Linked DNA regions of Saccharomyces cerevisiae S288C. The protein of the gene in region 3 binds, or shares a complex with, the protein of the main gene of each other region. Each region holds a gene or a part of one and is shown on either strand. Other genes may lie near its edges.

Evidence for each region. The genes of interacting proteins can lie anywhere in the genome.
Region 1: RSC1 (region 3) and SFH1 share a complex: the UniProt entries of both Saccharomyces cerevisiae proteins name them as parts of the two forms of the RSC complex.
Region 2: RSC1 (region 3) and LDB7 share a complex: the UniProt entries of both Saccharomyces cerevisiae proteins name them as parts of the two forms of the RSC complex.

What each region holds. Positions count from the first base shown.
Region 1 is NC_001144.5:774,182-782,110, reverse strand, and holds SFH1 (Sfh1p), read left to right. Parts: upstream 1-4,246; coding exon 4,247-5,527; downstream 5,528-7,929. Other genes in the region: 60S ribosomal protein eL38 RPL38, read left to right, coding at 732-968; PEX30 (peroxisome biogenesis protein), read right to left, coding at 1,325-2,896; U2-type spliceosomal complex subunit CWC24, read left to right, coding at 3,159-3,938; MMS22 (Mms22p), read right to left, coding at 5,807-7,929. UniProt on the Saccharomyces cerevisiae protein: Component of the chromatin structure-remodeling complex (RSC), which is involved in transcription regulation and nucleosome positioning. RSC is responsible for the transfer of a histone octamer from a nucleosome core particle to naked DNA.
Region 2 is NC_001134.8:214,185-220,897, reverse strand, and holds LDB7 (Ldb7p), read left to right. Parts: upstream 1-3,768; coding exon 3,769-4,311; downstream 4,312-6,713. Other genes in the region: drug-responsive transcription factor PDR3, read right to left, coding at 498-3,428; cytoskeletal protein-binding protein SLA1, read left to right, coding at 4,532-6,713. UniProt on the Saccharomyces cerevisiae protein: Component of the chromatin structure-remodeling complex (RSC), which is involved in transcription regulation and nucleosome positioning. RSC is responsible for the transfer of a histone octamer from a nucleosome core particle to naked DNA.
Region 3 is NC_001139.9:599,404-607,623, forward strand, and holds RSC1 (RSC subunit protein RSC1), read left to right. Parts: upstream 1-2,257; coding exon 2,258-5,044; downstream 5,045-8,220. Other genes in the region: MUP1 (Mup1p), read left to right, coding at 14-1,738; LST7 (Lst7p), read right to left, coding at 5,370-6,098; PEF1 (Pef1p), read left to right, coding at 6,733-7,740; septin SPR3, read left to right, coding at 8,160-8,220. UniProt on the Saccharomyces cerevisiae protein: Component of the chromatin structure remodeling complex (RSC), which is involved in transcription regulation and nucleosome positioning. RSC is responsible for the transfer of a histone octamer from a nucleosome core particle to naked DNA.

The DNA.
Region 1 (7,929 bases), on a different chromosome or scaffold from region 3:
TCAAGTGCTCTTGTCTCACGTATACTACGACTTCTATGAAACAAATATATGAGTAGGGAACTGAACAAAAAAGCAAATTCTTCCAATGCTCTCTAGCTCGCAGTCATGTTATGATCTCATAATCACGTCCCATTCCCGGCTTCTACGCATTTTTCCACGTATTAGCGCGATTTAAAAAAAGAAAATAGAAACAAATAGCAATAAACAAAAAGAAAAGTAACGCTATTACATCCACATGTCACAACTACTTTGTGAAGTTGCAATGCGTGATTAGTATTATAAAACATCATAGCCTTGCCAAATAAACTCGCTTCCCAGAAAAGACGCCAAATTAACTGCCGCTGTTATGTGACAAAACAGGGCATCTCACATATTCGCGTACTGGTGTTCTTTTAGCTCATTCCGATATTATTCCAAGACGGAATTTTCATCTAGAGAAAATGCATCCGTGCATTTTCATAAACCCACACAATTAAAATGCCTTGCGAAAAGGAGGACTCGTCCGTGCAACTGTTGAAAAAAATAGACGGAGCATCATACGTTCGAGTGGAAAATTATGGAGAGTTTTCCAAGCTCTATGGCATGTAGAGTCGTGATTGCTGCTGTACGCTTTTGCACAATATTGAATCTTCAATCTAAAGAATTAAATTTTCTAATTTCAATGTAGAAATATTTCAACTGTTAGTTTTTTATTTCAGGTTGAATATAGTACGACAAAATATCAAGGAAAAATGGCTAGAGAAATCACCGACATCAAACAATTTTTGGAATTGACCAGAAGAGCTGACGTTAAGACCGCCACTGTTAAGATTAACAAAAAATTGAACAAGGCCGGTAAGCCATTCAGACAAACCAAGTTCAAGGTTAGAGGCTCTTCTTCTTTGTACACTTTGGTTATCAACGATGCTGGTAAGGCTAAGAAATTGATCCAATCTTTGCCACCAACTTTGAAGGTTAACAGATTATAAGAAAAATAAGGAATGATCGGAGTGTTATCATAACGAGACTGGAACAAAAAAAACTAAGAATACTTTCCCATCCGCATAAAGAATAATATCCATTTGTGTTCGTTATACAGGAAGTAGAAATAGGCTTTATAACTTTTTTTGTTTTTGTTTCCTTTTGTTTTTCTTACTACTCATAAACATATTTTTTAATTTTTAAAGTCATAACGTTGTATAGTTAATAAAAAAAATTGGATTACTATTCATTGAAGAAGAGAGTTCTATACGTTCTTTTTTAAGTTTATTTAAAGGGAGTTACCATTTGTGTAATAAAGTAAATTAGAGATTATATTATGTAAAGGTAAAAACGGGAGCGAGCATCATACGGCCTTCTTGCTATCGCGACCAATGGTTGGATTTGATTGCTCTTTCTCTTCAGTATCATCTAATACTTTTGCCAGTCGATCTCTTGCCCTAGATTTTAAAACTTCTTCATCGGTCGAGGAAATTCTTTCAAACTCGCCTTCGTTGATGTTTGATGCTTCGGCAAATTCTTTTGTCTCTTCTGTTGTAGGCTCTCCTACTTTTTTCGCATTATCTTTCTCTTGCTTGTTGCTCCCAAGCTCTTGCTCAGCGGTTAAACCATTCGTGCTGTTTTCTTCAACCTTTTGTTCAATGGCAGAATTTCTATTCGAATTTATCACGCTTTCATCAAAGTCAGAAGTTTTGACCAATTCTGCGGTTCTTACCCATCTTCTTCTTCTTGTATATTTAGAAAAGGAATCTTCTTTACTTGGTTTTTTCCAGGTATTGTCGTAATATATAAATCCCTCGTCAGGGGAGGGATCTGCGGAAGTTCTTGCCTTTGAATTGGGCACTTGAATGGCACCGTCATTAGTCATGTCTAGCCTCCATGTCTTGTCGACCCATCTCCAAACCATAGTGTTAGTCTCTTCAGGTAGATGGAAGTTTTCAGGAGAGGGAGCCTCATTCAAAAATTCATCGGTCCATGGAGTCCTCTCATAACTCAACATACTAGGCTTCCATCCAATACCTAACCAACGACGCTGGTTCTCGTACAAAACATAAGTAAAACGGATAGGCTTGGAATCGGATAATACGCCATTACTGTTTTCTGTTGATGCCAACTTTTTCACTTGCTTCTGCACTGTAGCAAAAATACCCTGGTCCTTATTTATTCCACCAAGGTCTAAACCCGTGACGTAGAAAACAAGCAGCCTGACAATCTTAAACTTCCATAAAAGCCTTCTTGCTACTTTAGACCATGGTGAGTGATACGTTAAAAGGAACATGCCCACCATCAGCATCAAGCTTCTCGGTGGTAAAAGTAGCCAGGTTATCATCACGTATATTGGAGATAATATGACCGTAGTATATAGAAGCCGTTGAATATCTTGCGTTCCAAGGTTAACCATGGGGGAGAGCAAAATATCTGACTTCAAGGATACTCTGTTCATTAAGAGAGCAATATCTTCTAATGTTGGTGAGGAGCTCAACGTACCCTCAATATAATTGTCCAATAGGGAATAACCCCACAAAATAGCAATGATGGCAAGATGTCCAAAGTACTTCACCAGCGTTTCAAAATACTCAACGGTAGTAATAAAGAGACACAGCATCAAAACACTGCTCCAAATATTCTTTCCTGTCCATGTAACAACGTTTAGGAATTCGTCAATGAGAATTAAATAAGGGTACAATTTCACCAACGCCTTTGAGATTGTGGGCGGTGTTGATGTCAAAAGCGGCGAAGTAGCTACGTTAACTTTCTCCAATGACCCGTTATCATTATCCTCAGACACCCCGCTTTCAGCTTCGTTCTTTTCCAAAGCAGCTCGTATCACTTTTGTAGTATTGCCACCAATCCTCGGTTGCAGCGTCTCTGCAAACTTGGCTCTAGTCTCATGCACGTTAGTTGTGTTACCACTCATTGAAAATCAGTTTTTACACTCCGGAGGATCAACTAGACAGCTCGAATCCTAAATTGCAACCTTGCATGCCCACTTTACCTCAGTAGCGAACGTATCCAAGTATATATTTTGTGAAGCTGATCCAAAAACCCTTTAGTCCTCTTCCCGCTTCTTTCCGTGCAACCGGAGAATAATAAGAAAAAGCCATGCGCATCTCTATCTGAAGTGGACTCAAGCTAAAGCCATCGAAAGCTCCATCACTTAATCAAAGCTCCAGGTATTCATGTTCAGAAAGAGATTAGTGAACAAAAGCTCTTCTGATGAAAAGAACCAGAAAAAGAGGCAGAAAATTAATTTTAGCGAAGAGAAACTAGTGGCCAGCGATGAAGAAAAGGGTTCCAGTGACCTCATGAGCTTAGCCAAGAGTGGAAATAGCAGGACACTTCAACTTTCACATGAGAATGAAGGTAAACTACAGAAAAAGGGTGAGGATTTAGATAAATACACTTTAACGGTCAACGACGACAGCACTAAAGAAGATCTTCTAAACTTTGAGAGAAAAGAGCTGGCTGAGAAGGCAAAGAAGAGGCGACCTAGTGATGACAATGAGCTGGTACTGAACATGAGCGGTAAAAATAAACGCCTCACTAAACAGATTAACCAACCAACGAATATCCGGACCACGGTGCTGATGGATTTTCAGCCCGACGTTTGCAAAGATTACAAACAGACGGGATACTGTGGTTACGGAGATAGCTGCAAGTTCTTACACTCGAGGGATGATTTCAAGACTGGCTGGAAGCTGAACCAAGAATGGAATGCGGATAAAGAGGACTCCAAAGCGGTTACTCTAGACTTGGAAAAGATACCGTTCAAGTGCACTCTTTGTAAGGAAGATTACAAGTCTCCAGTGGTCACAAACTGTGGCCATTATTTTTGTGGATCGTGTTTTGCCAAAGATATGAAAAAGGGCACCAAATGCTTTATATGCCACAAGGAGACCCACGGCAGTGCAAAAGTAGCATCTGACTTACAGAAGATGCTAAATAAAAGGAAAAGTTGATGGAGAATGCCATATCACCCCAAAAATTACACGCACCCGATGCTAATGTACAGGAATTATAGAGCACATGACCCATAGATTTATCGAGCATTGTTGCAATTTCGAAAGACTCTTTCACATAATAAAGTATGTAAACTATATAGATAGAAGATGTCCCGTGTCTTTTTGTCTACTAAATGATGATCTGCTCATTTAAAGTCGCCGCGACTACTTTGACAAAAAAAAAAAACTTAGAAAATACGACAAATAGAGATTATTGAATGAAGTACATTGAAAAAAGAAAGAAGAAAGGCACATAGCAGCACACAATGTCGCACCAAAACCAGCTTATTCCACAAGCTTATATTTCTAACTTTCATAACAGATTGACAAACGAAGATGATGGTATCCCCATCTTTACAATGGCTCAACAAACAAGGCAGCATAAAAGGGCTAAAGTGGTCAACTATGCGGAATATGACAACGATCTCTTTGATGAATTCAATATGAACGGTTCTAATTTCAACAATGCTGATACACACTATAAAGATAATGCAGTGTCTCATGAAAATACTCCGGCACTTACAAATGGTGTTACCATGGACGGTTCCGAATACAATGTCCTAGAGAACATGAATGGAGCTGATAGTATTATCTCTAACAACAAATACGATGCGGGTTCAAACATGGTTGTGGAATCTTTATCCGGTTTGAATAGCAATAACAACGCCAGCAATGGTCCGAGCAACAAAGCGCAGGCACAGGATATTGGAAACGCCGTTCTACCGGATCTGCAAGACCAACACCACAACCCCTTCAACATATTGAGATACCCTAAAATAAGAGATACTTTCATTAACGGAAAAGTGGTGTCTCCATATAGACTCAACACTGATCAAGAAACGAAGGCAAACGCCAATTCTGGAGAGGCAATCATGATACCAATTACTTTGGATATAGAACATATGGGTCATACCATAAAAGACCAGTTTCTCTGGAACTACAATGACGACTCCATATCTCCGGAGGAATTTGCCTCTATATACTGTAAAGATCTTGATATGACTTCCGCTACCTTACAAACTCAAATTGCGAATATAATAAAAGAGCAGTTGAAAGACCTCGAAAATATTGCAGCCACTGAGATAATGTCTGACCTCCACGTGATAATCAACCTAACCTGCAACTTACAAGACAGATTTTTTGAAGATAACTTCCAGTGGAACTTGAACGACAAATCACTTACTCCAGAAAGATTTGCTACATCCATTGTACAGGACCTTGGCTTAACAAGAGAGTTCATCCCCTTAATATCTCAATCGCTTCATGAAACTATCTTGAAGATAAAGAAGGACTGGGTAGATGGCCACTTGATTCAGGACCATGTCCCAAACGATGCCGCATTTGGGTACTTATCTGGTATAAGGCTGGATATTGATGAACTGGGCTCCAATTGGTGCCCAAGGGTGGAAATATTAACAAAAGAAGAAATACAAAAGAGAGAAATTGAAAAAGAAAGAAACTTAAGAAGATTGAAAAGAGAAACTGATAGATTATCTAGAAGGGGCAGGAGAAGATTAGATGACTTAGAAACCACAATGAGAATGTAGTAACTTTGCTTTTCTTGTTACAGAATTGTATTATTATAAGTATTATTAATCAAACGGGAAGGACAAAAAATTTAACAAACGCAGAAGCAACTAAATCAAGACTAAAGAGAACGTAAAAAAAGTCATGCACTTCTTTGAGATACACGTTACCAAAAGAATACAAAATGTTTATCACCAACACTGATAGATCTTGTTTCTATTTGGACTAATTCGCAATTTGACATATATGACATATATTACGGAGAATTTTTAAATATGCTTATATTACATGTGTATAATTTACGTATTCTTGAAGGTTTTGAAAGGTTCAGACGCCTCAATTTTTCCTATATTACTTTCTATTATCTTTATTACAATCGCAGATAGCGAACTTTGCAAAGTAGTATGAGGAATCTGATTAGGTATGTTCATATTACTATCAAGCATCCTTAGCTGCAAAAGTTTGTCATGCTCCCAAAACCCATCTGCGATTCTCAACACAGATACCAAAAACGCATCTTTTGCGGCGATCAAATCACTATTACTATTAAAGGTGTCGTCTGTTGCGCACTCAATACATAACGCCCTGTATACTTTGCAAAGTTCAGCAAATTCATCAGGAGATACCTGCTCGAATTTCATTTTTAAAACCTTGTTGAAAAGGTCTATGAAGTGAGATAGAAGAAAATTCTTGATATTCACGTCGAAAAAAGGTCTGTTCTCAAATATGTGTGCTATCACCAGGTCAGAAAAAAATGCAAAAGGGCTCTCTAACATGGTGGAGGTGAATAAAGTGCTTAAATTGTCAAGATATCCATCAATTTCATTCCCAGTGCAACAGGCTTGAACAATACCGGTTTCAACAAATGCAGCTTTGGAAAGTATATCACCTGCTTCATTGAATGAGTCCCAGAACGCACATTTTTCGTCTTCATCACTTGAAATACCAAGTTCCCTTCTTAGACTGATGAAGAGTTGATTATTTCTTAGCTCAGTCAAGCAATTTTTGTTAAGAAATTCGAGATATTTTGCCAAGAAATTTCTACTGATGTCCCCTTCATCGTAATGTTTTTTCGCCAGGGATAAGAAAACAGCTAATAGATCTTGATATGCATTTTTTTTCAATGCTTTAGAAAAAATATAAGCCAATCGCAGGAGTTCATTCTCATCGGAAACAGGTTTCAAATCTGCTACTATGATATGTGCCCTCTTCAACAGATTGGAAAGAAAGTGATAGAAAGCGTCATCTTTGGAAATGAGCAGCAAATCAGAAGCAATGGAATAAAGCGGTTTTTTCAGTAATTCAAAAGAGTCTGTATCACAGAAATCGATAATAAGGGAGTGAAATGCAAGCTGAAAGTGTAATGCAGCATCTAAGCCGTTATAGGTAAAGAAAGTCCACCAGGTAAATATACCAGAATCTACGAGGAATTTTCCGATCTGACAATAGCATTCTATCCATCTTTCATTTTCTTGAGCCTTGCTCTTTATAAACTGAAAAAGATAATTTTGCACCCAAGTTGGACCCAGCACATCTAAGCTCTTCAAATATACCTGTAATAATAAAAAAAAAGACGACTCGAATATATTTTCTTGAGACATGGCCACCAGTGAAGGATACAGAAATTTGAGCATACTCACGCTTTTTCTTTTCATTTTGGAGACTAAATTTGTGAATTCTTTCAAAAAATTTTCTGTTACTCCCGATATGGAAGGTTGTTGAAGTACTAGTTTATCAAATAATGACGCAATAAATTTTCCACTGAATGGATGATTTTTGATTCGACTGATTTCCAGGAATGAAAGGCTGGCCTGCATGATCAATGTTGTTATCGTCCTGACTGTGTTCTGTGTATGCAAGTTTAAATATTCCTTACTATATAACGGTCGTGTTAGCTCTTGGAAGCGCTTCTCTAAGTTTAAATCAAAACGTGTAGCTAGAACAATTAGTAGGTTGAGGCGGTTCTTCAAAACAGATAGAGAATCATTCATAGAAATATCACCCATCGGTATCACACGTTGTGTATCAGAACTAGACAATTCACACAACGTCAGTAGATGCAAATATCTGTTAAACATTAATCGACTCGTAAGCTGATTCGTTGGAGGATAAATTATCTTATTGTTTTGTGACAAATCAGACTCTTCTTCAAAGTCCGAAAATCTTCTCCGTTTGAATATGCGATCGAGAGAAAGAATCAAAGAATTTGTAACATTCCAATTACAAGTCTCAATGCAATAATTGATGAACCGAAATGCCGAACTCAAGGGTTGGAATTCAGAATCTAATCTCAAAACCTGCCAGCGGCAGACTTTCGTAGGAAATATGTTGACCAGCAACAGTGAAATATGAGGCGAAAAGGGGTGCTTTTGAAATAAATCCCACAAAGCTTCCTTTTTATGTATGACATCAACGACAGCAG
Region 2 (6,713 bases), on a different chromosome or scaffold from region 3:
CTATATGCGCAATGTCTTTCCCTTATGAACACGCACAGGCCAAAAACTTACCAGAAATTCTTCTGTATTACAAAAAAAAAGAAATGAATTTATCAAAGTAACGCAACGGCAGCAGAATAGAGAAAGCGTAGTGACCGATGTCAGACGCGAAGGAGTCGCAGATTCTCAAACTAAGGAAAATCCAGCCTCTATGGGTGAATAGCTCATCCAATCGATCCAAGAAAAATTGTTGAGGCTATAATTACATATAATATCTACTGAACAGCTGCATTCCAGGACCTTTTTGAACAGCGCGCCCAAAATTAATGAAGAAATCGTTGATCTTATGTGAAGACCGAACAGAAAGGACAGACTAAAGTTTCGCCCAATTAGCTTACGAACATATAATGACGAGGACGCCACATTCCTCAGTATGAGTAGGGGGTCAATTAAATTCTTGAGTTATAAGTGTCCCATTTACTATGGTTATGCTCTGCTTCCCTATTTTCTTTGCGTTTTCATAAGAAGGGATATGAAGTATTGTCATTCCACAGAGTATGATATAAATCAGTCAGGTCACCACTGCTGACAAACTCCTCTAAAGTACCCAAGTTGTATATATTATTCTCATTAGCGCTTATTTGGCTAGGCGCAGAATGTTGTCTTTTTGTCTGTTGTAACGATCGATCTTGATGCCGCAGATTACATGGAACATTTTCTGATGCGTCTTGAGTGTACGATTCCTCTCCAGAGTTCAACAAAGACGATAACTTCAACGGTGAGTTTGCTGCTGAGGCAGAAGCATTGTTGTATGAAGGAGCAGTACTGTCATACAACTGAGAAATTTGGCTTGAATTTCCTTGGTCTGGAATATTACCAGTGGCCAATTTGTCTCTATACAAAAATTTATAGTCGCTTTCTAACATTTTTCTAATTATTAAATGAAAGCCTGATTTTTCAACGGATTTCAACATGTACCTGTAAATAAAAGAGCGGGTATCAAAAAACTCACGCAAAAGGTCACTTAGACCCGGTTCAACTTCTTTCAAACGTTCGATGAATTCGGCTCTATCAATTTGTTCGGCATAGCAGTATTTTAAAAATATGATTCTTATGGATATGGCAACCAAACTCGAACTTCTCGAAAACTCCCTGAAAGTTTGACAATCATAATCCTTCTCGTCCAAATTATTATTAAAAAAAGAAATAATGTTAGTTATTCTCTTAAAAACTTTCAAAGTGTTGATAACATCCTCTAAAGTGATGTGCGGGTCTTCCACATAAAATTTTGAAGCCATCACGAAAAATATCAGTTCATAAAAGTCCAAACATGCCCAAACAATAAAATCAGTATCAACCTGTATTAAGAATTGATTAATTTCCCTCCATTCTTGAAACATTTCATTCGCATATTTCATGCTTTGCTCAGTTATCACCTCTGGATCTTCAGATAGCCTAGCAATAAGATTGTTAACAGCACCCAAGATGGAGAACCATGTATTTTTATGGTAACTTACAAATTTAGCTGCTTCAATTAGATCGTTTTTTGGATATTCTGGATATTTGCAGTGAGCTACTTGAAAAACTCTTGAGGTGTGAAGCTTTATTTTGGCCAATTTTAACCTAAAAGATTCAATGTCCTCAAAAACTTTCTCCAATAACTTTTGTCTGATAATTGTGGGTTTAACGGATACTTCTAAAGACGTGAATTTCTCATTATAAAGAGTCTCTGAAAAAAAATCTCCAACAATTTGGGCTATCGCTAACTCACCATATTCAATAAGCCTGGACAATGACAAGTTTTTTAGCTTGGGCGATGACGGTGATAAAGAGGACGTACCAATTTTCGTTAAAAATTCTTTATGGTTAATGAATCCCATGTCCCTGAAATCCTTCGGCAAGAGACAATTCATTTGATGTTCATTTATTAAGGATAAATCACCAAGATCAGTTAAAAAACGCTTTTCCAGACTGTATATTTTCCACCATATTTTTCTTCTCCGTTCGGCAGTATTTTCGTCTATTCCAACATAATACTCCCAACGAGACAATCCCATCTTAGTGGAGCATGTAACCGCAACTTCTAGCATTTTTTCAAATCCAAAACGCTCATCAATTTCATTTTGGATTTCTAGCAATGACACTAAAATCTCTAGGTAATCTAAAGTGTTTATGTCCAACATGTGATATAGGGTAACATTGTAGTATGCGTAACAAAGAGTAGATAGAAGATATTCTGATGAGCAGAATGACGAGAATAAAACACTCTTTTCTTGATGGGGCAAGGAGAAAGCTTGGTTTAAAAATTCCGCAAAGCGCTTCCTATGTTGAGCATACATTTGAGTAACTATTCGAAACATCGAAAATGAATCATGTAAATTTTCTATCAATTGAGTAGTCGTAAACCCGGTAATCGATTGTATAAATGGCTGAGGTAGTTGATGAATAACAGAAATGACTAAATCGTTAGATAAAGGTGCTGGGGAAGTAGGCAAACTAGCAGATGCCGTCGTAGTAGGAGTTTGCTTTATTTTTTGAAGATAGTTCTCTAATGGATTAGAAATAGAGATGCAACCTTGGATCAAATGTTCATAACACAAATCAAACAATCTTAATATTAGATAAATAGTTTCCTTTGTATCTATTAACATCGATGAACCCGTGTTTTCGATATTTTTTTTAATTAAATATCCTATACCTCTTAGTGAAAAAGCCTGTATTGGAGAGAAAAGACCAAATACTTCATCTACTAGTGGAGTGGTGGCTAGAAATGAATCTGGACTTTGTGATTTAACCATTTGGTCTGTCCAAAAGGAGAACCTCGTCATGTGTATTTTATTTCTATACTTGTTGGTTAAAAGATACGTTTCTATCGATCTTTGTGGGCGAGGAGAGAAACTGGAAAGCTTGGGGTAGTTTATTTCGGGATTCCAACTGTTAATCAGGTTATTCAACTGCGACTTCGTTTTATCAATCAAGAGCTGAGTGTCATCACAAGGCGGCAGAGCGTACAAATTTGTCAGAATATTTTGATACGTAACCAGTTGATTTTGATATTTGGAATCATCTTTAAAGAGAATATTATTATCATTAGTAGGATTATTGGAAGTATCAGGAGCATGCGTCGCACTCGGAGAGACTGGAGTCTGTATCAGGTCGTTCATCAGTTTGAAGTAATATTGATTATCTAGCTTAATCGCAGTGTCCAGATGCTGTACATCTGCTGAAGCCTCTACATTGGCGTGGGAAGAGGGTGGAGCAACAGCTGTAGTAGGCAAAGACTGGGAACTATCCTCCTTCTGCGGTAAATGTTTTTTTAGGAATACACACGTACAATCGTAAGAAATGCAGTTGGTACATGGATATTTACCTGTGCATTTGATTTTCCTTTTTCTGCAATTGACACATGCTGTCGAAACTTTTGATCTAGTTGATTTCTTCACTTTCATTGCGGTCACGCAATAAGAAAAAATTAATAAAACTGCTGATGCAGTTGTCGCCTAAGACCTATGGTTGCTTTGGAAGGCTCCTGAAGACACAAACACAGGAAATACATAAATACATTAATGAGATTCTATAACAGTATCTACATATTTGCATTCTAAGACTCACTGTGATAGTTCATTTATTATTCCGCGGAAAGTCCGAGCGGCAGAGGAGGCAGCTCCGCGGAAACAAGGGCAGCGCCTGTTGTTCTGGAAGAAAATGAAAAGTGAAATGCAGTTGTCGTGGAAATAATGGCTTTACCTGAAAGCAGCAGAGCACGGTGTTAACAAGGAATAGCTGAGAATGAGTGGAAGTAATATGGGATACTATGACGTACTCGCAGGGCTTTCAGCGCTGGAAAAGTCATCCCAGGTAGTGTTCAGTGCGACTGAGCTTCAACAGCTTACGCAACAATCTCATGCTACCGACAAGGGCATAGAGGGCAGTGAGAATAGTAAAGCGAAGGTATCCAAGCCCAAAAGAGTAGCTGTACATGGTTACCTAGGCGGTAAAGTGTCGCTCGCCGATGCGGCACAGGTGGAGTATGAAGTAGGCCATTCACTGCTGGGCAGTTATGTGCCACGCCAGCAGTTGGAAGCCCTGTCAAGTGTCGACTTTTCGCACCATTTCCACCGCACATTAGAATGCAAAGCTGCTCTAGAGACACACGATGTTTTTCTTGCCGGCGCAGGACAATTGTCTCTACCCTTCCAATCACACATAGAGAGCCCCAGGAATAGCGAGGCTAAAAGGAAAAGAAAAGTGATAATATGCAAACGGTGTCAATCACGATTTATAGGTTCCCATAGGCGGTCTCAACTTAGAGAACATGCCTGCGTAGATTAAACCATGTAATTGATAGAGGTAGAATGTTGCTTCGTAGAAAGTGACTATACGATTCCTAAAAGGGGCTTCCTTCCACTCATGCGAAATCGAGATACATCAGACGAAAACAGAACGAATATTTAGCGCATATATACTATGTATATCTATTGCAATCCTAAAAGAAGGGATAGTGTAACATAGCCAAGGCGACAGAGTGTGTTATATACAAAAGAGCTAGAGTATGACTGTGTTTCTGGGCATCTATAGGGCCGTCTATGCCTATGAGCCGCAGACACCAGAAGAACTGGCCATCCAAGAAGACGATCTGTTGTACCTCTTACAGAAGTCAGACATTGACGATTGGTGGACAGTAAAGAAAAGAGTCATTGGTTCCGATAGCGAAGAACCGGTGGGTCTAGTGCCCTCCACTTACATTGAAGAAGCTCCTGTTTTGAAGAAGGTAAGAGCCATTTATGATTATGAACAGGTGCAAAATGCTGATGAAGAATTGACGTTTCATGAAAATGACGTTTTTGATGTATTCGATGATAAAGATGCTGATTGGCTGTTGGTTAAGTCTACCGTTTCCAATGAATTCGGCTTCATTCCAGGCAATTACGTCGAACCAGAGAATGGGTCCACTTCCAAGCAGGAACAGGCTCCCGCTGCCGCTGAAGCTCCTGCAGCTACTCCTGCAGCCGCTCCTGCTTCTGCTGCCGTACTACCCACCAACTTTTTACCACCTCCTCAACACAATGATAGAGCTCGTATGATGCAAAGTAAAGAAGACCAAGCTCCAGATGAGGATGAAGAGGGCCCTCCTCCTGCCATGCCTGCAAGACCAACGGCTACTACCGAAACTACTGATGCCACCGCTGCGGCTGTTCGATCTCGTACAAGACTATCATACAGCGATAACGATAATGACGATGAAGAGGATGATTACTATTACAACAGCAACAGCAACAACGTTGGAAATCACGAATACAATACAGAGTATCACTCTTGGAACGTTACCGAAATCGAGGGAAGGAAAAAGAAGAAGGCCAAGCTATCAATCGGTAACAACAAGATAAACTTCATACCCCAAAAGGGGACTCCTCATGAGTGGTCAATTGATAAATTGGTCTCTTATGATAACGAAAAGAAACACATGTTCTTGGAATTTGTTGATCCATATAGAAGCCTTGAATTACACACTGGTAATACCACCACATGTGAAGAGATCATGAACATTATTGGTGAATATAAAGGTGCTTCCCGTGATCCTGGGTTGAGAGAAGTCGAAATGGCTTCCAAATCCAAAAAGAGAGGTATTGTTCAATATGACTTCATGGCTGAATCACAGGACGAATTAACCATAAAATCAGGCGATAAAGTCTACATTTTAGATGATAAAAAATCTAAGGACTGGTGGATGTGCCAACTGGTTGATTCAGGGAAAAGCGGTCTCGTTCCTGCACAGTTTATTGAGCCTGTTCGTGACAAAAAACATACTGAATCTACAGCAAGCGGTATCATCAAGTCTATCAAGAAAAACTTCACCAAATCTCCATCTAGGTCGAGATCTAGATCAAGATCTAAATCCAATGCCAATGCCAGTTGGAAAGATGATGAACTACAAAACGATGTTGTAGGTAGTGCTGCCGGTAAAAGGTCAAGAAAAAGTTCATTGTCCTCTCACAAAAAAAACTCTTCGGCGACCAAAGATTTCCCCAATCCAAAAAAATCGCGTCTATGGGTTGATAGAAGTGGTACTTTCAAAGTGGATGCAGAATTCATTGGATGTGCTAAGGGGAAAATCCACTTGCACAAGGCTAATGGTGTCAAGATTGCTGTCGCCGCTGATAAACTATCCAATGAAGATTTAGCGTATGTGGAAAAAATTACTGGGTTCTCCTTAGAGAAATTTAAGGCGAATGATGGGTCTAGTTCCCGTGGCACTGATTCAAGAGACTCTGAAAGAGAAAGAAGAAGGAGATTGAAGGAGCAGGAGGAAAAAGAACGCGATAGGAGATTGAAAGAGCGTGAATTATACGAATTGAAAAAAGCCAGAGAACTCCTAGATGAAGAAAGATCAAGGTTGCAAGAAAAGGAATTGCCTCCAATAAAACCACCAAGACCAACCTCTACTACCTCCGTTCCAAATACGACGTCCGTACCACCAGCCGAAAGCAGCAATAACAACAACTCCAGTAACAAATATGATTGGTTCGAATTTTTCTTGAATTGCGGCGTTGATGTAAGCAATTGTCAAAGATATACAATAAATTTTGATAGAGAACAGCTTACTGAAGACATGATGCCTGACATCAATAACTCAATGTTAAGAACCTTGGGTCTGCGCGAAGGTGATATTGTTAGAGTAATGAAACATCTTGACAAGAAATTTGGAAGAGAAAATATTGCATCAATTCCTACAA
Region 3 (8,220 bases):
CAAAGGCGGAGCAATGTCGGAAGGAAGAACGTTTCTGTCACAGTTGAATGTCTTCAACAAGGAGAACTATCAATTTTCTTCTTCTACTACAAAAAAGGAAGTAAGTAACTCGACAGTGGATGCTGACAACGGTGCCTCCGATTTTGAGGCAGGCCAGCAATTTGCTACAGAATTGGACCAAGGTGAAAAGCAGTTAGGTATTTTGTCGTGTATTGGGCTTATCTGTAATAGAATGCTTGGTACCGGTGTTTTCGCCGTTTCCTCGACCATTTACACACTATGTGGGTCTGTGGGGCTTGCATTAATTATGTGGGCAGTTGGCGCCATTATTGCCATTTCTGGGTTATATGTATACATGGAATTCGGTACGGCTATACCGAAAAATGGTGGTGAAAAAAACTACCTGGAGGCTATTTTCAGGAAACCAAAATTCTTCATTACCTGTATGTATGCTGCGTATATTTTCTTCCTAGGTTGGGCTGCTGGTAATTCCATCAATACAGCTATTATGTTTTTAACTGCTGCTGATACTGAAGTGACCAAATGGAATCAAAGAGGTATTGGTGTGGCCGTCGTTTTTTTTGCATTCCTAATTAATTCTCTGAATGTCAAGATTGGTCTATATTTGCAAAACATTTTAGGTATTTTCAAGATTGGTATTGTCCTCTTCATTTCTATTACCGGTTGGGTTGCCCTTGGCGGTGGTCTCAAAGATGGTTATCAATCTCACAACTTTCGTAATGCTTTTGAAGGTACTGAAACCGCCACTGCTTATGGTATTGTTAACGCCTTATATAGTGTTATTTGGTCGTTTGTCGGTTACTCCAATGTTAACTATGCACTTGGTGAAGTTAAGAACCCTGTGAGAACTTTGAAGATTGCTGGTCCTACATCGATGGTCTTCTTGGCTATAATCTACATTTTTGTGAACATTGCTTACTTCGCTGTGGTTCCAAAAGATAAGTTAATTTCTTCAAAATTGATTTTAGCTGCTGACTTCTTCGATATTGTGTTTGGCGGCCAAGCCAAGAGAGCAGCAGCCGCACTGGTCGGGTTGAGTGCCTTAGGAAATGTTCTTTCTGTCATTTTTTCTCAGGGTAGAATTATTCAACAACTAGGACGTGAAGGTGTGTTGCCCTTTTCTAATTTCTTTGCCTCTTCTAAGCCATTCAACTCCCCAATGGTTGGTTTGTTTCAACATTTTATTGTTTGTACAGTAACCATTTTAGCCCCACCTCCAGGTGATGCATATTTGCTAGTCCAAAATTTAATTTCCTACCCAATGAATATTATTAATTTTGCCATTAGCGCGGGTTTGCTTTGGATATACTGGCAACGTAGACAAGGTAAAATTGAATGGAACCCACCAATTAAGGCCGGTGTTTTTGTTACGGGATTTTTCACATTATCCAATTTATACCTGATTATTGCTCCTTACGTTCCACCTTCAAATGGCGAGTCGGTGTATTCAAGCATGCCATACTGGATCCACTGTGTAATTGCTTGGGGTATTTTCTTCTTTGGTGGTGTTTACTACGTTGTTTGGGCCCAATTATTGCCAAGATGGGGCCACTACAAATTGGTTTCCAAGGATGTGCTTGGTGAAGATGGGTTCTGGAGAGTCAAAATTGCCAAAGTTTATGATGACACTATTGGCGATGTCGATACACAAGAAGACGGCGTTATTGAAACGAATATAATCGAACATTACAAAAGTGAACAAGAAAAATCGCTGTAACCAAAAAGGTACTTACCATCTCATCTCGATTCTTATAATCACGTATGAACATTCTTATAATTGCATTTTCTTTATACAAAATATATAGGTACCAAACCTCATTATAATTTCTGCCATTTAATAGTTTAAGATGCTATTCCGTTTCGTATTTTTTCAATTTTTATACCTACTATTGCGCGAAATCAAAATAGCATACTAAGAAAAAGCAATATCATGAATTGCTGATGAGATAGATTCAAATTGGAATTAACTAAATCTATCAGCAACGCTATAAACACAGATAAGCGCTCTATAAAATCGTTTGTCTAACGTTTTATATAGTTCTTTATTGCTCCCTTACCCTCTTTCCGTCAATAGTGATTGTTGTCTCGGGAAAGCTTTTTTTTTTATTAATCAAAGGCCCAATTGAGTTACAACTGAAATTAAGCTGAGTTGGCGGAACAGTGTGGTATTAGCGAAGGGAAAATCTGTGAAGTGCCCTAGCTACAAAACAGAGATAAAAAAAATTATATTTCAAGCATGGTGGAGCAAGATAATGGGTTTTTACAGAAGCTACTCAAAACACAATACGATGCTGTCTTCCATTTAAAGGATGAAAATGGTATAGAAATATATCCAATATTCAATGTACTGCCACCTAAAAAAGAATATCCAGACTATTACATTATAATAAGGAATCCGATATCTTTAAACACTTTAAAGAAACGATTGCCCCATTATACATCGCCACAAGATTTTGTTAACGATTTTGCGCAAATTCCTTGGAATGCAATGACATACAATGCAAAAGATTCAGTAATTTACAAATATGCCATTCTTCTTGAGTCTTTTATTAAAGGAAAGATCGTGCACAATATAAGAAAACATTATCCCGAGGTGACATATCCATCTCTAGGTCGAATTCCGGAAATATTCGCAGAGAGTATGCAACCCTCCGATTTATCCTCGAACCCCATTAATACACAGGAAAATGATGAAAAGGCTGGCTTAAATCCAGAGATGAAAATGGCTTTCGCAAAACTAGATAGTTCGATCACTGAAAGGAAACCAACCAACCAAGATTACAGGATGCAACAAAAAAACTCACCAGCGTTTCCAACCCATTCTGCTTCTATAACACCGCAGCCGCTGGCTTCACCTACTCCAGTTGTTAACTATGCAAATATTACCTCGGCGCATCCCAAAACCCATGTTAGACGCGGTAGACCACCAGTAATTGATCTACCCTATGTACTGAGGATTAAGAATATCTTGAAGATGATGAGAAGAGAGGTCGACCAAAATAATAAGACGCTTACCCTCTGTTTTGAAAAACTACCAGATAGAAACGAGGAGCCAACCTATTACTCTGTCATAACAGATCCCATTTGTCTAATGGATATTAGGAAAAAGGTTAAGTCCAGAAAATATAGAAATTTCCATACTTTTGAGGAAGACTTTCAATTAATGCTAACAAATTTTAAGCTTTATTATTCTCAAGATCAGAGCAATATAATACGAGCTCAACTATTGGAGAAAAACTTCAATAGATTAGTGCGAATTGAATTATCCAAACCTGATGAAGACTATTTACCTGAAGGTGAATTAAGATATCCTCTAGATGATGTAGAAATCAATGATGAGAAATACCAGATAGGTGATTGGGTTCTTTTACATAATCCAAACGACATCAATAAACCCATTGTTGGCCAGATTTTTAGATTATGGTCTACTACAGATGGAAACAAATGGTTGAATGCTTGCTGGTATTTTAGGCCAGAACAAACCGTTCATCGGGTGGATAGGTTATTCTACAAGAATGAGGTCATGAAAACTGGTCAATATAGAGATCATCCTATTCAGGATATTAAGGGAAAGTGCTACGTTATTCATTTTACCAGATTCCAGCGTGGGGATCCTAGCACGAAAGTCAATGGTCCTCAATTTGTTTGCGAATTCCGTTATAATGAAAGTGATAAGGTTTTCAACAAAATCAGGACTTGGAAAGCTTGCCTGCCGGAAGAACTCCGTGACCAAGATGAGCCTACGATACCTGTTAATGGAAGAAAATTTTTTAAATACCCTTCTCCAATAGCAGATTTGTTACCAGCAAACGCAACTCTAAATGACAAAGTTCCAGAACCCACGGAGGGAGCCCCAACTGCCCCACCTTTGGTAGGCGCTGTATATTTAGGCCCCAAATTAGAGAGGGATGATCTGGGAGAGTATTCAACTTCTGATGACTGCCCTCGATACATAATCAGACCAAATGATCCACCAGAAGAAGGTAAAATAGATTACGAAACAGGAACAATAATTACAGATACCTTAACCACAAGCAGTATGCCCAGAGTGAACAGTTCCTCCACAATACGTTTACCCACTTTAAAGCAGACTAAATCAATTCCCAGCTCCAATTTCAGGTCCTCATCAAATACTCCACTATTGCATCAGAACTTCAATCAGACTTCCAATTTTTTGAAATTAGAAAACATGAATAATAGTTCTCATAATTTACTATCACATCCTTCCGTTCCTAAGTTTCAATCGCCCTCTTTATTAGAACAGAGTAGTCGCTCTAAATACCATAGTGCAAAAAAACAGACACAGCTATCATCAACAGCTCCCAAAAAGCCTGCATCTAAAAGTTTTACATTATCCTCAATGATTAATACCTTAACTGCTCATACCTCGAAGTACAACTTCAACCATATTGTTATTGAAGCCCCGGGTGCATTTGTGGTTCCTGTACCAATGGAAAAAAATATAAGAACCATCCAATCGACAGAACGTTTCAGTAGATCAAATCTAAAAAACGCTCAAAATCTCGGTAATACTGCTATTAATGACATAAATACTGCAAATGAGCAAATAATATGGTTCAAAGGGCCCGGTGTAAAAATCACAGAGAGAGTTATTGATTCCGGAAATGATTTAGTACGGGTACCTTTGAATAGATGGTTCTGTAAAAACAAAAGGAGAAAACTGGATTACGAAGACATTGAAGAAGATGTTATGGAACCACCAAATGACTTCAGCGAAGATATGATTGCTAATATTTTTAATCCTCCGCCGAGCTTGAATTTAGATATGGATTTAAATCTAAGCCCATCCTCGAATAACTCTTCTAATTTCATGGATTTAAGCACAATTGCAAGCGGTGATAACGATGGGAAAGAATGCGATACGGCGGAGGAGAGTGAAGACGAAAACGAAGATACAGAAGACGAGCACGAAATTGAAGATATCCCGACCACGTCTGCTTTTGGCTTAAATTCTTCCGCTGAATACCTTGCATTCAGATTACGAGAATTTAATAAATTATGACCATGATAAATTCACCACATGTATCTATATATGTTCATGCATATACCATATATATTTTGTTATTCATACGATAGACCTCAATCGTTTTGTTGCCTTTCAAAACGCACAATTGTAAACCTAGCTTACTATTTATCTATCGCGGTCCAGAATGGCTTTCCTTTTTAAATTCATCCCAGAAGCCACGTCGGAGTAAAGTATTCGGCCTTGATGACTATTTCGAATCGAAATGAAAGAATAAAAGGAACTAGGAGGTTGTTCCAACAATTTTCCATGCCGTAATTTCATCGGTTATTAGGTTACCAGCATTTATCTCAGTTTATTTGAGTCAAGGTAATTTATTTTCATTCATTACTGTATGGAGTAAAAATGAATTCCATTTATGTATTCGCACGAAGAGAAATTTATCATCCGTCAGAGACACCAAATTACGGCCGAATTTAGATTTGTTTGCACGTAAATATGAGCCAATGAAAGCGTTATTATTCAATGTTTCCAAATTGTTTTCCACCGTTTTATTTTTCCCCAAGAATTCGCTTTTATGAATGTTTTTAATATATGCAATCATTTTATCAAATCCACCGATGATAAAGTTCCAGTGTTCACTCAACATTTTCATAGAATCGTCATGGCTTCTGGAATCGACTGTTAAAATAAAACAATATCTTCTTTCATTGCCTCTAGCATTTTCATCATACAGTTTAAAGCCTATAACTAAGTTCAATCCTCTAAGATCATCAAAAAATATAAAAGGCATATTATCATAAATCATTGTTTCTTCAGAAAAGGCTCTTTTAATAATAGAATTTAGCAATTGGTATCTTATAGAAGAATATTGGGTAGTTATAAACGGAACATCTTCGATGAAGCACCGCATCGATCTAGTTGACTCTTCAGGAAACTGTAAAAGACATGATTCGCAATATGATTCAGTTGGATAATCAGGCACTAGTAATTCTTCACCTAGCGTTCCCTTTTCTGCGGATTGTGTAACTGATATGATCCTTGGGCCATGCTTGTCGCAGAAATGAGCCAATGAAATCACTGTCGAGGACATTCTATGCATCTATTTCATCAACCATTTAAACGCTAACTTATTTTATGGAGGTGCTAGTTAGTTGGACTTTATTGCTTCATTTATCGTTTGATGGTCATCGAATAGAAGATTCCTAAGCCCTTTTCTTTTTACTCAAGATTTTCTTTTTCAAGCGTGTTTTTTCTGGCAAGTACGAAAACGGCATCTTCGAACTTGGCGAATGAACAATCGGTTTGGTTCAACATTTCCAAGAACAACTACAACATACTATCAGTGTTACTTTCAAAAGTCTTTTAATACATTTGAAATGATATTCAGTGGAAGTGGAATGAAATAGGCCACAGTGAATAGGCCACGATACACACAGCATGTGTCATGCTCAATACCTTGCACCTGAATCTATATAATCTTGTAGTTCACCATTATATACATAACTCAGAAGAAGAAAACAATACGCATATTGGATAGTGCTCCATCGCTTTTAACAACTGATAATTTCAGTCATCTGGCTCAGGGTCTTGTCGATTTTTTTTATTTAGAAACTATCCGAATAAAAAAACCGCAGGAATACAAAGCGATGGGAATTGCTATTTCACTGAACATGTATGTATACCGTATACCGCATAAAATAACTATAAACCTACACCATTAAACGATGTGTGCAAAGAAGCTCAAATACGCTGCTGGCGATGACTTTGTACGCTATGCTACACCTAAAGAGGCCATGGAGGAAACTAGACGTGAATTCGAGAAAGAGAAACAACGACAGCAACAAATAAAGGTTACTCAAGCACAAACTCCCAACACTAGAGTCCACTCAGCTCCAATTCCCTTACAAACTCAATATAACAAAAACAGAGCAGAAAACGGTCACCACTCCTATGGTTCTCCCCAAAGTTATTCTCCAAGACATACGAAAACACCTGTGGATCCTAGATATAATGTTATCGCACAGAAACCAGCAGGCAGGCCTATACCTCCAGCGCCAACCCATTATAACAACTTGAACACTTCCGCTCAACGGATAGCTTCCTCTCCTCCTCCCCTAATTCACAATCAAGCAGTGCCTGCACAACTCTTGAAGAAAGTTGCACCTGCTTCGTTCGATAGCAGAGAAGATGTACGAGACATGCAAGTGGCCACACAGCTATTTCATAACCATGATGTAAAGGGCAAAAACCGACTGACAGCTGAGGAACTACAGAACTTACTACAAAACGACGACAACTCCCATTTTTGTATATCATCAGTAGATGCGCTGATAAATTTATTTGGTGCTTCCAGGTTTGGCACTGTCAACCAGGCAGAATTCATCGCCCTATACAAAAGAGTGAAAAGTTGGAGAAAAGTTTATGTGGACAATGATATCAACGGATCGCTCACCATTTCTGTAAGCGAATTTCATAACTCACTTCAAGAACTAGGATATCTAATACCTTTTGAAGTTAGCGAGAAAACATTTGACCAATATGCTGAGTTTATAAACAGAAATGGAACAGGAAAAGAACTAAAGTTTGATAAATTCGTTGAGGCGTTAGTTTGGCTAATGAGATTAACAAAATTATTCAGGAAATTCGATACTAATCAAGAAGGCATTGCAACCATACAGTACAAAGATTTTATCGATGCTACATTATATTTAGGTCGTTTCCTACCTCATTGATGAAAACCATTCGTTCTTTCTGGTCGTAATACAAATAGAAGAGGTAAACCAATCAATGGCCCGTTAGTTTGCCATTTGCTGCATCCTTCCCATGCAAAGTGTCTTCGTATTTAGTGATGTTTTGTTAGCGACACAAAAGAGACCTCGATGACAGACATTTTTTTTTCTTTACTTAATGTATTATAAGTGTGTCTGACCTCGACTATCATTATAATATTAATTTGAAGTTCTATTTTACATTTATATGAGTTATTCCATTACATAATAAGGATATCAAGAGCAGATTAGTGTCTTTTAGATTATACATCTTTTTCCCCCCTTTTTTGTTGTTGGTAGTGGAAAGAAAAGGATCAATTAACAGAAATAAATAAATAAATAATAAAAACCTAAAATTCCTTTTGCGTCATTGAATTTTTATTATGAAGTCAAAAGGGAGTCGGTTGTCAACAGACTGTCCTGTCGAATTTCCCAAGATAGTCT